Saccharomyces cerevisiae S288C: one gene and its partners. Changing the gene in region 2 together with the main gene of any one other region gives a genetic interaction. Each region holds a gene or a part of one and is shown on either strand. Other genes may lie near its edges.

Region 1 (7,160 bases), on a different chromosome or scaffold from region 2:
ATAGATGAAGATGAATACAAAGAGAAGGTACATGAAATGCAAAAGTTGATTGGTCTAGCTTCATATGTTGGATATAAATTTAGATTTGACTTACTATACTACATCAACACACTTGCTCAACATATACTATTCCCCTCTAGGCAAGTTTTAGACATGACATATGAGTTAATACAATTCATGTGGGACACTAGAGATAAACAACTGATATGGCACAAAAACAAACCTACCGAGCCAGATAATAAACTAGTCGCAATAAGCGATGCTTCATATGGTAACCAACCATATTACAAGTCACAAATTGGTAACATTTTCCTACTCAACGGAAAAGTGATTGGAGGAAAGTCGACAAAGGCTTCGTTAACATGCACTTCAACTACAGAAGCAGAAATACACGCAGTCAGTGAAGCTATTCCGCTATTGAATAACCTCAGTCACCTTGTGCAAGAACTTAACAAGAAACCAATTATTAAAGGCTTACTTACTGATAGTAGATCAACGATCAGTATAATTAAGTCTACAAATGAAGAGAAATTTAGAAACAGATTTTTTGGCACAAAGGCAATGAGACTTAGAGATGAAGTATCAGGTAATAATCTATACGTATACTACATCGAGACCAAGAAGAACATTGCTGATGTGATGACAAAACCTCTTCCGATAAAAACATTTAAACTATTAACTAACAAATGGATTCATTAGATCTATTACATTATGGGTGGTATGTTGGAATAGAAATCAACTATCATCTACTAACTAGTATTTACATTACTAGTATATTATCATATACGGTGTTAGAAGATGACGCAAATGATGAGAAATAGTCATCTAAATTAGTGGAAGCTGAAACGCAAGGATTGATAATGTAATAGGATCAATGAATATAAACATATAAAATGATGATAATAATATTTATAGAATTGTGTAGAATTGCAGATTCCCTTTTATGGATTCCTAAATCCTTGAGGAGAACTTCTAGTATATTCTGTATACCTAATATTATAGCCTTTATCAACAATGGAATCCCAACAATTATCTCAACATTCACCCATTTCTCAGAATAGATGTGAACTCTTTGGTTTTCGGTCAGACTAGACGTCAGTAAATAGTTTGAAAGCGAGAATAAAAAATAATTGTAATGGATAATGAAATGCCGTTAATTGGTAGTATTAATGAAGAATGAATATCCATCTTTTCATGCAATATAAGAGAAAAATATAAAACTGCTGAGATACGGACAAAAATCACCTATGTACAAGTATTTATTTTATCATATACGGCGTAAGAAGATGACGTCAAAAATTGAGGAACAGTCATCGAATTTAATGGAAGCTGAAATGCAATGATCGATAATGTAATAGGATAATGAGTAACAACAATTAAATTGAAGAAGAAAAAATAGTGATGCTCTGTAGAGATGTCATTTCCCTTCAATGTTGCTATATTCTCCTGGCACATTAACGTATGCCCACTATTAGTGCCTTTAACAATAGAATCCCAACAATTATTCAATTATTCACCCATAAAATCCACCTATTTTTCAAGAAAGCATTAGATTTGCTCATTATTATTTATTATTAACATAAAAGTGCCTTTGGTAGTTACTATGTATTTAGTGTGGTGACCCGTATTCCTCATATATATAAGTAGCTACCACATTATGTTCAATCAATATATCTTTAACTCAGCTCAGCATTGTCTGAATTGCTCGCTTAAGTTTTTATCCTGTGATTAGTGCATTTACACATAAACGTATACCGGGTGTACCTCAATATACTATGTAAACATTTAAATTGTTACCATAACAACTCATGTTATTATTAATGATCACTTGACAACATATAAAAACGAAAGAAGAAATAATAATACTACTATGTATAAGTATCCATTTCCTTTTGTGGATTCCTCAAAATGGCCAGTATATTCGGAAGTAACATAATGTAGTTATTCATCGATGAGGTTCACATTCTGTAGCACTGACCCATCGAAAGAAAAGAGTTTATATTTTGATAAATTACATAAAAGCTGAAAAGTTTGTAGTGGTCATAGAAGGTAACCCACCTCCTAAGAAATCCAGCATCATATGCATACCACCACCTCCACTATACTCATCAACATCCTGTGGTAAAACCTGTGATACGCTATCCAAGAACCACACTTTGTCCTTTATTTCTGTGGTATAACCTCTCAATAATGTATAGTAAGACCTCATTATTCTCATGGCCCCTAGGTCGCCTGTCATTAATAATGCTAAAAAAGTCCTATCCAAAAGAGCAGGAAATGAGAAGACTCTCAACATAAAATCTAATTGATTTTTTTCGCGATGCAGTTTGTCCAAATATGCTAAAGTTATCAAGTACGGTGAATCAATTTCTACGGGATATAAATCTGCTATACTTTCGTCAAAGCATACGAGTTCCGATATCGTATTATTGTTATTTCCATCACCATTATTGCTATTGTCATTATCATTATTATGATTACTTTGGTTGATTACAGCTTCACCCAAATCACTCAAGTCAACAGAAATTAAGTTATAAAACTTGGATGTCTCCGACAGGGGCCATACAGCAGTTAGTATAGTTACGGCGCCTTTAACATGGAAAATCCATGCCGTTGGTGAGCTGCTTGAAGCATTTGCCAATGAATCTAGGATTAATATTAGAGCACTAGCCACCAAAGCATCTGTGTTATCATCTGAAATTTCGAGCACAGCCTCTCTTAACAGTCTCAACGCTTCTAAACGATGACTAGACACGTAGTTATCCAAGCCGGCTTCAGTTCTGGACAAATGAGTGGCGCTAAAAGCCAAAATTGTATGCATCAAGAAGGGAAAATGAAAAGCCAAATCCGGAATATAAGTGCTCCATACTTCAGGACCAGAAATGCCTGCTTCGGTTATGGTATGCCATACGTCAGTACAATAGTGATGAAAAAGTTTTAGATCTATCAAATTCAAATTTGATTTTCTAGACAGCCCGACTAATTCAGGGACTAGTCGTGAGGCTGATGAAGCGTTTGAATGGGGAGAAGATTGTTGTTGAGTGTGAGAATTTGATGAACGTGGAGACAATGCCTCCGAGTTGGATAACAGGTCACCCATTGGGGACGTCTTCAAAGTAGGAGAATTTCCCAAAGCGGTCCTGTTGTCCGGTATAGATAACAATGACTTTGTAGAGGTTACATTGGATACTCCCGTTGAAGGGGACGCAATGTTTTGATCTATGGAAGGTTTGGACAACGTGTGTGGGGGACTGATTGTGAGACCGGTATTGTCGATTATCAAGTTTTTGTTATGAGATAGTATATCAGAAGCAGTAACTTTATTTTCGTTTCCGTTAAGGGGGTTATTGCCCGAATTAACAGCATCCGTCTTAGTATTATCCAATGGGTTCTTCGTAAATTGCTTGTTTTTGTCCTCCTGTTCCTGTTGCATATTTGCGAGTGCCTCCTCTGCTGTGCTAACTTTGATTGCTCTGTTATTAGATGTAGCAAACTTTCCGAGGCCAAATAACTCTTGAAACTCAGAGGCCATTCCATTTGCAGCACCGTATGGAAATAATGTATTGAAGCTCTTCATATTGAAGTTCAAGCCCATCTTGTTCAATTGCGCTAGCTGGTCGAAGGGAATATTGCTGAAGGGGGACTGTGTTCCTTGTTGTTGTGGAATTTGCTGATTTTGTTGTTGAAGTTGTGGCTGCTGCAATCCATTCGTCACCGAATTTAGCCTACCAGGCGAGAGTAAGCCGTTAAGGCTACTTGATAAATTCATGGCCGTTGATTGAAAACTAGGTGTTATCGGTATACTCAATGGCGAATTCCCTGGTAGGGCCATGTTTGGGTGGTTGTTGTTTATCATTGAACTGGGAGCTGTTTGTGTTATATTATTATGCGCTTCAGCTCCATTTGCACTGCTGTTGGTACTGTTACTGGTGTTATTCACTAAACTCGCTAATAGGTGCGGTAACAAAAGATTCTCCATATTATTGGATACGGATGGAGGAACGCTATTAGGGGAATTGCTTTGTTCATCAGTACCAACATGTGGCAACAGTTGCTGCTGTAACTGAACTTGCTGTTGTTGACGAAATTGCTGTTCTTGTTGATGATGAAGTTGCTGTTGTTGTTGTTGTAACATGATGGCATTGTCACTCAGATTTTTCTTGCCTACCCTATCGTGGACCGCTGATGCAAATTTTGACGACGAAGAATCTTTTCTTCTTCTTGGCTGAATAGGGCTGTAAACACAGTCCAATTTCATGTTTGTACATTTCTTGCAAAATGGTTTGCCTTCATCACATTTTACTCTTCTTCTTTTACAATTGTCGCAACCGGTCTTGGACTTGTTATGAAACTTCCGTTTCCCTGTCGAAGTCTTGCTCACTTTCTTGCCCCCAACCTCAATCAGTTCAGCATCCTTCTCTCTTTCTTGTCCAGCATTCCCATCATCGGATGTCATGTTATGTTAGATGGAGATCTATGGATAAACGAAATATAAACCTTAAATGAAAAAAACCGTCGACTTAACTCCTCTATATTATGTAAAGGCGAAATGTTATTTGTGCCTTTGAAAAGTGGAGGTCTTGGTTGCTTCTCCTTCGACGATAATCGATTTCGGTGACTAGTTAGTAGATGATGTAATCGTAGACGCAGGGAACCCTTGCTTTTCCCCAATCGTAACAAAAAAAAACAAGGGGAAATAAACTATTAGATAGTACGAGTTCGTTAAGTTAAAAAAAAGGCTATAAAAGTCGAAGAACGAATGATTACGACCAACATCTATTGTTCAAACTTGCCTTCGTTGAGTTTATCGAACGCGCTCGTTTAAATTTTTCCGACAAGAACGAGGAACGAGTCACCAATTACGTTTTCGGCTCTGTCGGTTGCAGGATCTGTAAAAGCGATATAGATACACACGTCAGCATGAAGCTCTTATGATTTGGCGAGTAGTGTTAGTACGTTAAATGCTACGACTCGGCATATACTGTGCTCGTTTTTATCAGTTTCATCCGAGGATTGTAGCCTTTTTTTTTCATTTGTTGATGTTTCTCTAGTATTTTCCGTCTTGTAGTGGTTTCGGGTATGTTGAACATAAACATTAAAAAAGACGATTAAATAAACTTGAGTTTGTACAAAGGAAAGCTGTAGTCATAGAGTATTTAGAAAAAAAAGCAGCCACAGTTTACATGAAGATGTGACCAATGAGGAGGCATCGGTTTGCCTTTGAATCTCAATCGCTTGAAAATTGAGTTCTTTTCGAATGATGACACCTCCGAGAAATGGCATTTCTATGCTAGCGCCACTCTACCCTTTCAAACGTCCGTACTCATATGAAGTTTCATCCTTCACGCAGCGATCTAAAAAGTTGTAAAAAAAAATACATTTAGGCCTAGCTATATATGCTACTATGTATCATTCAGTGAAATGGCTGAGGTTATATAAAATACTGGGAGGTCGTTTTTACGCTAAAGCAGACCTTGCGGATCTTTTCCTGTAGAATATATTTGTAGCATAAGTCCAATTTTACGGGCGCATTTTCAAAATCAAGGTGATATTGACATATTTTGAAGAGCACCCAATGGGCTAGCTGCAAGAACAAAGAGACCAGAAAGCCTAGAATTAAATGCCAGAAAAATGGAAATTTATTCTAGACAAAAATTGTTCGGCACCTCTACAGACGTTTAACGAACCTGGTCCGGCCTTTGAGGCGATCAAAAAAAGGCCCATTTTTGTGTTCCGCGTAATTGGTTTGCGCCTTTCCATGGAGCTTGGTGGGCGACATTCTCAAACTGGTTTCCTGATACATCATGCACGCCCGTAAAGGGTTTAAGTATTGATTGCTAGCCTGAATGTTTCATATGCATACCGTGTCTATGCAACGAATATATTTCAGAAAAAAGCACGAAAGCCAAATTTTTGATGTTAAGAGGTGTTTTTGCCCGTAAACGGAGAAGACGTGGTAGGACTCGCAAATGTCGCGTTTAGCGTTGAAGAACATGGAAGTATTGAACGTTTGGGGCTTGACGGCTCGACTTTTTTGCACTACTCCGCCTTGAACAGACGGATGATCCTGGCGCAAGAAACAAAGAGAATCAACTCTGAGCAAAGCGAAAAAATGAAATACAACGATAATAAAAGGATAGGAAGGTGTATATATAAGTTAATTTTAGATATAGATTAAGAAAAGATGGGCATATACTAATATGACTACAAAATTGCACATTTTTTACTTTTCTTGATAACAGGAGGCTCCAAGGCGGCCACGATAGCTTCATCGAATACATTCTTCAAACCGCGTTGTGTTAGTGCCGAACACTCGACATATTTTACTGCTTTCAGTTCTCTTGCTAACCTGGAACCTTGTTCTGATGTAATCGGACGTAATCTTTGTCTTTGCAACTTCTCGATGATTACCTTGTCATCCCTTAGATCAATCTGCGTACCGACGACCAGGCATGGTACACCTGGACAATGGTGATGTACTTCAGGGAACCATTTTTCTTTAACGTTTTCAAAAGAGGGTGGGGAAATAACACTGAAACAAACCAAAAATACATCAGTAGAAGGATATGACAAGGGTCTCAATCGATCGTAATCTTCTTGACCGGCCGTATCAAACAAACCTAACGTATATGGTTCATCACCAATCATCACAGTCACCGCATAGTTATCGAACACTGTTGGAACATAGTCGGCTGGAAATTGATTCGTTGTATAGGAGATTAGAAGGCACGTTTTCCCAACAGCACCATCACCGACAACAACACACTTTAGCGTTTGCATTTTGTGGAAGAGCTAATACGTTTATTTCTTGTTTTATAAGTTTTGCTTCTCTAATTCGTTTGTTAACCTATCTCCTCAGGAAAATAGAATAGTATAATAAATAACGAATATAATTTTTTGCGACAAAGGAAACCTATTGCAAAAAGTGAAGAATGACAGAGAAGGATAATCAGTATATCTCGGTACACCTGGAACCTATTTATCAAAACGCTGCTCTTGCCTTTTCCAAGAATCGCGTCTATCATCGATCAATCAACCTTGTTTGCTTTTTTTTATCACTTTTTCCCGTATCTTGTTTCATTTGGAAGGGCCCAATGGAAGCAGTATTACCCGTATTGAATGACCCTTGAATCGACGGTGGAAGACATCTTTAATGCGAT
Region 2 (5,852 bases):
ATCTTGGCTTATCGGTAGCGCTGGTACGCTGTTGATGGACTTCACAGTTTTTATTCAATTTTTCCTTTACGCCAAACCTAAATACGAGAAAATACTAATAGATAATTAACTAGTTGGCTTCTATTAATCTTTCCACTTAAAACTCAAACTTACTCATATGCGCATCGGCTATAGCCCAGAACTAGTATTTTCATTTTATGGAGGAAACAAAATTACTAGCGCCATCACGGCTCAGTCGTTATTTTGGCGATGCCCTTTGCTGACACGCGTCTGAAAAAATACACAAAAAATAACACAAAAACGAGTAATGCCATTTCCTGGGTGGGGTCTCTATCCATAGAGGAAAAAAAGTGACAGGAAGGGGACAAATTCAACTATTCACTGTAGTCATCTAATAATTTTTTTAACTTAATCACACCAACAAAAACAAAAAAAAGCTAAAACTAGGTTGAAGGATTTTAAGAGAAGTTATTGCACCGGTGTATTAACATATATAAGGATACGTACGAACATAACATCATGTCCAGCTTAGCCGATACAGTAGAGGGTAGCGAGGCCAAACGCGGCAGATTTTCCAACAATGCATTAACCTCCGATACTGGTATTTTACAGAAAAATAGTACATTAAGAAACTGGTTTTTAAAACCGACAGCAGACCTAAAAAATAGTTGCGAAGATAGAGTTGAAGATGACGTCAATGATGTCTACTTAAATGACAAAAACTCACAAAAATCTGTTGAAGAAAGAAAACTAGGAAGAAAAGTTAGATCTTTTTTCAAACAAACAAACTCAAATAAGGACGAGTCTGTGTTGGAAGATGAAGATGATGCGTTAGTTTGGAAGAAAACTAGCAATAAGTGTGCAAAAAAGGAAAATTCCCATGACATCCAAAAAGGAAGTTTCACAAAAAAAATCAGAAACAGTATTTTCAAGAGTGCAAATGACGTGAAAGAATTCAGGAATGAAAATAACTTACTATTGCCCGTTGAACTTTCTTCTGATGATGAGAATGAGTCTCATTTCACTGATGCTAACTCACATGTTATGCAATCAAAAAGTCCCGAGAAAATACCTTCCAAGGATCAATGCTTGACTAAAGGCGCTAAGAATAAAGGTCTGAAAAAGGAATATGAAAAAAGTTTTGAAGAGTATAGCGACGACAGTGACGATGAATTTTCTCCTGCTACTCCACCGGAGAATGTTCTTGAAGGTCCTTACAAATTTGTGTTTCAGACACCAAACACATTTACATCTCAGCCTAATATAACAGTAGAAAATGATTTTCACAAAGGTGGGAGACATGTGATTGACTATCTGAACAAAAAATTGGCTACTATGAACATTGATATTGATTTGACTTCAGGGGGGAAACAAAACGTATCTTGGGAGGAAGAGCTCGACCAATTGAGCGACCACGTTATAGAAAGTATTACTAACCACATTTCAAAGGGTAGAATGCACGCACAAGAGAAGCAAGATGAGTTGGAAAAGTTAAAATTGGAGAATTTGAACTTGTCAACATTAAAGCAAGAAAATCTCCAACATAAGCAGGAAATTAACTCATTGAAAGACAACCTTGAATCCATTAGTAAAAAAAACAATGATCTTATATTGGAAATGAACAAATTGAAAAAAAAAAGTACGAATAATAAAACAAATGAGTACATATCTACGGATGAAAACGAAAATGAGGAGATTACCAAATCCAATATGGGTCCTGGCATTTTAGAACTGAACGTCAACGAAACTTCAAAAAAATTACAGCAATCCACATTCAAACCCTCGAAATATCTTCCAAGAGAAACGAGAAACAATGAAAATAGATTAAAACACTTGGAAAAGAGAATATTTGGCTTAGAAAAATCTCTTGAAAAAAAAAAAAAACAGGTAAGGGCTGACAGCGTTAGATTAGACTTGAATAGATATACTATCGACCAGTTTTTGACATTACTGAAAAGCCTCAGCGAGGTTTTGCAATTCCACAATGTTTATGGCAATGATTTGAAGGAAAACGACGATAATATTATAAAGATTGAAACCTGCTGTAGTGCGCTAAACATGAAAAATTGTTTCGAAGACTCCTCATTTCGTTTACAAGAAAACAGCTTCAAGAGGCAATTGGGCCCTCTGTTCGCAAACATCAACTTCTCCTTAATCGACCAACTGACAATGAACTTCAGGTTCTACGAGAGATCTGCCAATTTCCAGAAGGAAACAATAGGTGGGTTAAGAATGATGCTACAAGATAAGGATAACTATATCAAAACACTGATGCAACATTTGAAGAAAAAAGAGAGTACAAAGTTGATAAAAGACAGCAAGAATGGCGCCTCCACCTTAACATCTTAACAATTTCGTTTACTGAAAATGCTACTAGTATATAATCATTAAGTATCTAACTATCACTCAATAAAAATATTATAGATCGCTTAAAAACTCGTTTATTGCCGATTATAAATCCACCAAAAGCCGCTCTACCCTTACCTCCGCCTGGAAAAATTATAATATATAAAGTGAGCCTCGTAATACAGGGGTAAAAAGGAAAGAGGGGGATATCAAGCATCTGGACTTATTTGCACTATCTCCGCCTTCAATTGATAAAAGCGTCTTGATTTTAATCAACTGCTATCATGTCTTCTTCAGTAGCCTCAACCGAAAACATAGTCGAAAATATGTTGCATCCAAAGACTACAGAAATATACTTTTCACTCAACAATGGTGTTCGTATCCCAGCACTGGGTTTGGGGACAGCAAATCCTCACGAAAAGTTAGCTGAAACAAAACAAGCCGTAAAAGCTGCAATCAAAGCTGGATACAGGCACATTGATACTGCTTGGGCCTACGAGACAGAGCCATTCGTAGGTGAAGCCATCAAGGAGTTATTAGAAGATGGATCTATCAAAAGGGAGGATCTTTTCATAACCACAAAAGTGTGGCCGGTTCTATGGGACGAAGTGGACAGATCATTGAATGAATCTTTGAAAGCTTTAGGCTTGGAATACGTCGACTTGCTCTTGCAACATTGGCCGCTATGTTTTGAAAAGATTAAGGACCCTAAGGGGATCAGCGGACTGGTGAAGACTCCGGTTGATGATTCTGGAAAAACAATGTATGCTGCCGACGGTGACTATTTAGAAACTTACAAGCAATTGGAAAAAATTTACCTTGATCCTAACGATCATCGTGTGAGAGCCATTGGTGTCTCAAATTTTTCCATTGAGTATTTGGAACGTCTCATTAAGGAATGCAGAGTTAAGCCAACGGTGAACCAAGTGGAAACTCACCCTCACTTACCACAAATGGAACTAAGAAAGTTCTGCTTTATGCACGACATTCTGTTAACAGCATACTCACCATTAGGTTCCCATGGCGCACCAAACTTGAAAATCCCACTAGTGAAAAAGCTTGCCGAAAAGTACAATGTCACAGGAAATGACTTGCTAATTTCTTACCATATTAGACAAGGCACTATCGTAATTCCGAGATCCTTGAATCCAGTTAGGATTTCCTCGAGTATTGAATTCGCATCTTTGACAAAGGATGAATTACAAGAGTTGAACGACTTCGGTGAAAAATACCCAGTGAGATTCATCGATGAGCCATTTGCAGCCATCCTTCCAGAGTTTACTGGTAACGGACCAAACTTGGACAATTTAAAGTATTAAGACAACGACTTTATTTTCACTTTATTTAGTTCGCTTCTTAATCTTGTCAAAAACAAGATATTGTGTAATCGCCTCAAGTAAACAATATGTTTTTCATACGTGATTTGAAGTTTTTAAGTATCTGAAATACATACGCGCGCGTATGCATATGTATTAGTTAAATTACTCGAATGTCCTTTATATAATATTACATTTTTACACACACATTCTTGAAGAAGAAATCCCGATCGTAAAAAAAAACACCGTGCTCCAAATGGCCTTCAATCTTTTCGAATAATTTATTCGATTGTTCATTCTCATCTCTATAATCATTCGCCGTACGTTCAGGATATGACGCATCAAGCAGCGAAGCTAAACCTGTTGGAAATAAAGATCTGTCATAGTCATCGTCTTCTTCATCATCATCAGCACCATTATTACTATAATCATCATCATTGTCATCATCATCATCATCATCATCATCATCATCATCATCATCATCATCATCATCATCATCATCATTAATATTGTTGTCATTGTCATTATTGTTACTGTTACTGTAGTTATTGTTATTATTATTAATAGTACTACTACTATTATTGCCATTTTTATTATTATTATTATTATTATTATTATTATCGTCAGTATCATCAGCGCCAGTAGTCTCGTTATTATCAGTATTGGTACCATTACTATGATGATATTCCTCGCCTGGCTCAAGAGTTTTATTTTCCCACAATTTCGGAATGCTTGAAAATTGCAAGAAGTTCAAATCCTGGATTGTTATTTCATTGAAAATATTGAAGGACACTTCCATTTTTTCTTGGTCCTCTGTAACGAAACTACCAAATGCAGCCATCTTCTCTTTATTTATGAACGAAGTTTTCAAGAGCTCGACCATATCATCTTTTGATTCTCTCGTATGCTTAACTAACCTATTGAGAACACCCTCATAATAATTTGAATCAAAGGCATAGAATTTTGCGTATTTACTTGTCAGATTGAACTTTTCCATCGTACTCCGTAGAAAAAAAGTGTAAAAAAAAAGAGATGTTTGCCACTTCAGATTGTGTACTGAAAGACAGCGTTCTTCAGATCCAAGCATACGGGTATGTGTATCCCTCAATAATCCAATTATATAACCAGTCTCCATGGCATGTTCGTCATTAACCATAATCTCTGACAAATACAGAAACATGGAAAAAACCGTTGTGAGAGAAAAATACAGAAACTCATTCTGAACAGTAGGGTAGTATTCAAAATCTTTCAAAATATTAAGTACTTCGATGCAATTTCGCTTGAAATCCAATCTTGACCTTCTAATAATTTCAGCTATATCATGCCGGGAACTTTCCCGTTGATCTAAGTTATCTCCAATGATGGATATGACAAATAAACTCAGGGTTATCTTTTGATGGTACCATCTGAGGTGTAATAGAATAGTAGTACAACAACTCACTTCAAAATCTAACTTCGAAGAATCCAAAGATAAAATCCTCATGTTTTCCTTGTAATTTTCTAATGATAATATGGTGGGCAAATCGTCTCGCATTCTATCTAACGCCTTTTGATTTTCCAGTACATTTTCAATGATTTCATCTAGTGTATCGTCTAAAGTTGTTCTGATGGAAAAACATGAGTAATATATTTGAGACTCTATGAGGGATAATCTCGACAAAAAATATGATTGAATGTATGGTACATATTCAAGGTGATTCGCGAGTAAGTTTACAACGGATACAATATCTTTCACCCCTTCTAGTTTTGAATCATCGTATTTTATAGAAAGATTGGGCAGAATTTTATCTCTGAATAGTTCAACATAGCTTTCATCTGTTAATACATCAGTGTTTTCCTCCTTGAGAAAGGGCGGTCTTGACAACACCACAGAAAAGAATTTGTCTGTTGAAAAACAATAACACCACAAGCGTCTTCTTTTAATGATTTCATCAAGTTCTAGATCCTCATAGGTGGAATGTAAATTGAGCCGTAAATCCAAAGCCACTTTGATAGCAACGGATAGTACTTTGACCGCTGATGAAGCACTTATTTTTTGTTGGGCAAACTTTGCCAGTAACAGTAATGCCTTTAATGCCGTCATATCTGCGCGTGCTACAGACAGTTTATGGTAGTAATAGACAGAATTGAGAAAAGTGAAAGATCTGAGTCTCCATAATTCGAACTTCTCAAAATAATAGGTTTCATGAT
Region 3 (5,417 bases), on a different chromosome or scaffold from region 2:
AATTCATGTTTCCTGCAGTAACCGGTAGTGTATATGGGAAAGATAAAAATACCAGGCAGAACAAGGTCCATAGAATACATATAATATGAGGAATCATAGACATACGACGACGGTTAGGCCTGCTGACACAATTTACGTCACTCTCGATTCTATGAATGAATTTTTCCTTTTTAATAACGAACAGGAATATAAAAGAAGGAACTGCGTACGACATTAGTAACAGGGTGATGCATGCAGTGATAATTGCGTTGAAAGCGGTACTAGATCCCATAAATATACAGCCAATTATCGTTACACATATTTGTGACAAAAAATGGGCATATAATGGAGACTTAAACCCAGGTGTCAACACTGCTAGCTTCTTCAAGGATTTGTTTCCCAAGGAACCCTCTTTATAAAATGGTGCGTAACTTTTCCCGAATGATTGGAGGATTCGACTTTGCCAGGTTCCACTTGCAATGCCTGAAACAAAACCTGTTGTGATACACATACATTGCAGGAAGACACTGAGATTCCTATTACCAGTGGCCTGGTAAAATATTTCTACGATAGGTAAAATAGACTCAACGACTGCCGTTTGGTCAGTGATGCAGAAAAACAAACCAACGCAATAAATAAAACTAGTTACAAAGCCCACAATGATGGTAGTGATAATAACTTTGGGAACTAAGAAACGTGACTTACTATAACCCACTTCATCAATCATGTGCGTAGCAGAGTCAATGCCAACAAATGCCCAGATCGGATTGACCAAACCGACAACAAACGCCATTCCAGACGAATTCCAGCCTGTTTGATTATCAAAGCTCCCAAATATATTAGAAGCTTTGGGCCATGGGTCTACGGTGTTGTCAGATCTTGAAACAATACAAATAATGAAAGTCATGGCGAAAGACAATAGAGACGTATAGAGCCCAAACTGAGAGATATAGGGCAACGGAGTTGAATAAATGTTGAAAAGTGTCAAAACGGCATTGATACACTCGTAACCCACAAAAACATGCCAGTGCTTTAACTCGTAGTCCGGATGCAACAACTTATGAATACCGATACAGCTCATTGACAAAGATGAGCAGATACTTGCGGTAGTAAAAATGGCACCGAAATAGTTCAGCAACCCTACAACCATGGAAGAAACCTTTTGAAATTTAGAAGAAACTTCCACGTTGAAAGTTTGACAATAATTCTCGAGGAACACTTCTTCATCATCGTCAGAAGGGTCCTCGTACTCAGGGGTTTTCAAAGTGACTGATTCTTGTTCCAACATTTTAAGAACCCAAAATGAACCACCGCTGCTGTTTGGCAGGATAGCAGCAAAATCTCCCAGAGATATACCACACATGAGACTGAAAAAAGCAGCAATTATCAACCCATAGATGATAAGCAGTGGCCCTCCACTGGCAATACCAACGGCCATCGACGCTGAGATACCGACCCATGAGCAACTTAATGAGAACGCGATACCTAATAGGGACCACCAATTAAAGTGCTTGTCAAACTTGACTTCTGACCTTTCTGAACTAGACATTCTTATTTCCGTCCTGTGACGATCTGGAACAATAGACAAAAAAAAATTTCTTTCATATACAAATAGGAACACTGCCCCTACTCTGTTCATACCATGCTACTTATATATAGCTGATGAAAGCCTTGCAACTTTTTTATTTAAACTATTCTACGTCTTGTTGGGTCATTAATGACTCCACCGATGGCAGTTCATGCAACTCCATATCCTGATCATGTGCCGTAGTACATTGTGCAACCTGTGCCATAATATTGACACCGAACTTCTTCAGGGCCTGCACGTTGCCTTCATTCGGTTCCCCATTGAGAATGACCCCAAAAAGGTGGCTTCTCAAGCCATTATCGCAAAGATGATTCCAAGTCAGCAATGTATGATTCAGAGTCCCTAGCCCGCTGCGTGCCACGACAACTACGTACACTGGATGGCCGCTAGTCTCAATCAGATGTTTAATTAGATCCGTCGTAATTTCCAATTTACGAGTGATAGGAACGCAAACCCCGCCGGCTCCTTCTACGACCAATGGATTCTCTGCGCTCCACTCTTCAGGAACTACGAAATCCAACAACCTGATGTCGACATTAGGTTCGTACTCCATGGCCTGGAGCGGAGATAGAGGCTTCTGCAGCGCATAAGTGGGCGTGAATATAGGTGGTTGCCAAGTTGATGCGGCTATTTTGAAATTTTTCAATGTCTCGGAGTCACCTTGATCTGACTCAATTCCAGTTTGTACGGGTTTCCAGTATGCAGCTTTCCATTTGTGTACCAATAATGTTGATACAAAGGTTTTACCAACATCAGTGTCTGTACCGGTGACGAATACAATTGGTTGTTGTTCTTGTTGTTGAGATTTGCTGTTCATGACCTGTGCGCTAGTGATTTTTTGAGTTCTTTTCACTGGCCTACTTGTGGAAAAAAGTATATCTCTTTATATACTTCAGTAAACGAACTACCAGCGGGATTTTATTTTGTTTTGCCCAATAATTTTGAATTATAAATAGCCATTGTTTGTATATTTCATTTTCTTTTGGTCGGGAGGATGTCAACAGCGCAATTCGTTTTCTATTGCTAGGATAACAACTAATGTCCCAAGAAATTTCATATACACCAGATGTCGCGGAACTGCTAGACTTTGATAAAAAACATATTTGGCATCCTTATACGTCATTGAGTTCACCATTGAACGTTTATCCGGTAAAGAGTGCTCACGGATGCAAGCTGGTGTTGGATACCGACTCACCAGTGGACGTCGAGGTGATCGACGCCATGTCGTCGTGGTGGTGTGTTATTCACGGGTACAATAATCCAGAACTAAATGAGGCCCTTACCAAGCAGATGTTAAAGTTTTCTCACGTCCTTCTTGGTGGATTCACCCATAAAGGAGCTGTGAATCTAGTCCAAAAACTTTTAAAAGTGATTGATGAACCCTCTTTGCAGTACTGTTTCCTCGCAGATTCTGGCTCAGTAGCAGTGGAAGTAGCTTTGAAGATGGCTTTACAATCAAACATGTCAGGGGAAGCTACTAAAAATAGAACAAAGTTTTTGACAATCAAGAACGGGTATCATGGTGATACATTTGGCGCTATGAGTGTTTGTGATCCTGAGAATTCTATGCATCATATCTACAACGATCGACTCAGTGAGAACATCTTCGCCCAAGCTCCCTCTATTGTCGATGGCCTTCCAACCAGCCAGAACGGTTTCGAGGACCATTGGAATGCAGAAGAAGTTACCGATCTCAAGAAGCAATTTGAATTGCATAGTGATAAGATCTGTGCTGTGATTTTGGAGCCTATCTTACAGGGTGCAGGAGGTTTGCGACCATACCATCCACAGTTCTTAATCGAAGTTCAGAAACTATGTAACCAATACGACGTTTTATTCATCATGGACGAGATTGCTACAGGATTTGGTAGAACAGGTGAGATTTTCGCATTCAAGCACTGTCAAAAATACCAGGACCAACATGGCATCAGTCCTTCCGATCAGATCAAAGTTGTTCCTGACATATTGTGCGTTGGGAAGGGCTTAACCAGTGGATATATGACTATGAGTGCAGTGGTAGTCAACGACAAAGTTGCTTCCAGAATCTCTTCTCCAAATAGCCCTACTGGTGGCTGCTTCATGCATGGCCCCACCTTCATGGGCAATGCCCTGGCATGCAGTGTGGCAGAAAAGTCTATGGATATACTACTGCGTGGCGAGTGGAGAAAACAAGTGTCTGCAATTGAAAACCAAATTTATAGAGAACTATACCAGTACATCAAGAACCCAGATAATGGGCTCATTGGAACTGTTGTTAAGCGTGTGTCAGTTATTGGAGCTGTAGGTATCGTAGAGCTATACAAGAAGACAGATCCCGAGTGGTTCCAGAAAAAGTTTATATCCAAGGGAGTACATATCCGACCTTTCAACTGCCTGTGTTACATTATGCCACCATATGTGATCACGACAGAGGAATTGACGAAGGTTAATCAAGTCTTGATTGAAGTATTACATGAGTGGAAATCCCACATAAACCAATGATATACGATCTCATCAAGTCATTTGCCAAGGAATTCTTATTTCTTGCGTAAAATGCATTCTTTTACGCTATTATTTATATTGATATAACTCAAAATAAAAAATTTATGGTTATTTATTCTAGCGGACCTTTATATCTTACTTTTCTTATCATAAAACTATGTCGAAGCCTGCTGCACAAGAGAAAATTGACTAGTTCAGGGCAAGAACGTATCACAGGAAGTACGAGTTGAGAAATCTGGACCGAAATGGTCCGTGGTCGCCTACCCGCCTTCTGTGCCATCACGGTACTCTCTTCTATGTTCTCCCATTAGCGCTAGTTACACTCCTCAGCAGCTGACACATCTCACGATCCTATCTTTTATTTATTATGAGAAGAACGGAAAAGATGGGATATTATAGGCTCAGCTTACTCTTCAAGCAACTACTGTTGAACCGGGTCGTACAACTCATACCTTTGAACCCTCTGGTAAATTTTTCCGGCAGAGTCAAGATTATTATTGAGGCAAACCTGTAAATTTCCTTCAGCATTTGATTATCTTCCGCTACTTGAAATTTTGCACTATATCTTCCTCTATTAACCTATCCGCAGTAACTATTCACAAGACCTTGAATGTAGTAAACGATGTCTATATAACTTAATATTGTGTAAGATCTTACAAGATGTACTGGGCCCAGGCTTTTCACGGGGATCAAACCGTTGCTCTCCTAGATGAGAAAACGCTTTGCCATCACACTGAAGTAGCATGGGCAGTATTTTCCCTCGAATATTGTTATTATCAAAGCAAGCAATATCAGCAGTAGTTTTTATTTCAACATATAAGATCACCTATGTTGCAATCTCTGCAAAATTAGTAATGTTACCCTCCAAGTAATTGTATGACCTCTCTTCTGAAGGTAAACATTGCGCCTCTTTGTTTAAAGCAGCAGCACTAGTTTATCATGGTTTCGTTACCTAGGAAAGGATCGGTAGTGCTATGTAACACTTGGAAAAGATGAAATTTGTTAACATGAAATTGAGTCCCTTGTGTTAAGGTAAAAGTGCCATCTTTAAAAACGTACTCTGCAAAAAATGGTATTGCGCATACGAAGAATTAAGAAACTGGCACCATTGATCTTCACATCATTGTTGTCTCTCATTGTTCTTTTTAGGGTCTACCGACAGTATCCATTCTCCGACCATTTCGAAACACGCAGAGAAGATGATCGCTCTGGCAACGTGCACTGCTTTTCTAGACTGCGTCAAATAGAGGAATATGAAAAGCCGGAATTGACAAGTAAATTCTATGAACCGAATAGATGGAAATCTTTTATATCTTACGTGACCAGGAGTCGCAAGGATGTGAAAACTGTGTCCCGATCGCTATCCAAT

What was found.
Region 1: mutations in ARA1 (region 2) and ECM22 together harm fitness more than expected from each alone (negative genetic interaction), as found in Saccharomyces cerevisiae (one large-scale study listed by BioGRID).
Region 3: mutations in ARA1 (region 2) and BIO4 together harm fitness more than expected from each alone (negative genetic interaction), as found in Saccharomyces cerevisiae (one large-scale study listed by BioGRID).

What each region holds. Positions count from the first base shown.
Region 1 is NC_001144.5:598,008-605,167, forward strand, and holds ECM22 (Ecm22p), read right to left. Parts: upstream 4,457-7,160; coding exon 2,012-4,456; downstream 1-2,011. Other genes in the region: Rho family GTPase CDC42, read right to left, coding at 6,205-6,780.
Region 2 is NC_001134.8:537,357-543,208, forward strand, and holds ARA1 (D-arabinose 1-dehydrogenase (NAD(P)(+)) ARA1), read left to right. Parts: upstream 1-2,630; coding exon 2,631-3,665; downstream 3,666-5,852. Other genes in the region: RTC2 (cationic amino acid transporter), read left to right, coding at 1-109; YSW1 (Ysw1p), read left to right, coding at 520-2,349; TBS1 (Tbs1p), read right to left, coding at 3,853-5,852. UniProt on the Saccharomyces cerevisiae protein: Catalyzes the oxidation of D-arabinose, L-xylose, L-fucose and L-galactose in the presence of NADP(+).
Region 3 is NC_001146.8:731,686-737,102, forward strand, and holds BIO4 (dethiobiotin synthase), read right to left. Parts: upstream 2,385-5,417; coding exon 1,671-2,384; downstream 1-1,670. Other genes in the region: BIO5 (Bio5p), read right to left, coding at 1-1,618; BIO3 (adenosylmethionine-8-amino-7-oxononanoate transaminase), read left to right, coding at 2,606-4,048; MNT4 (putative alpha-1,3-mannosyltransferase), read left to right, coding at 5,118-5,417.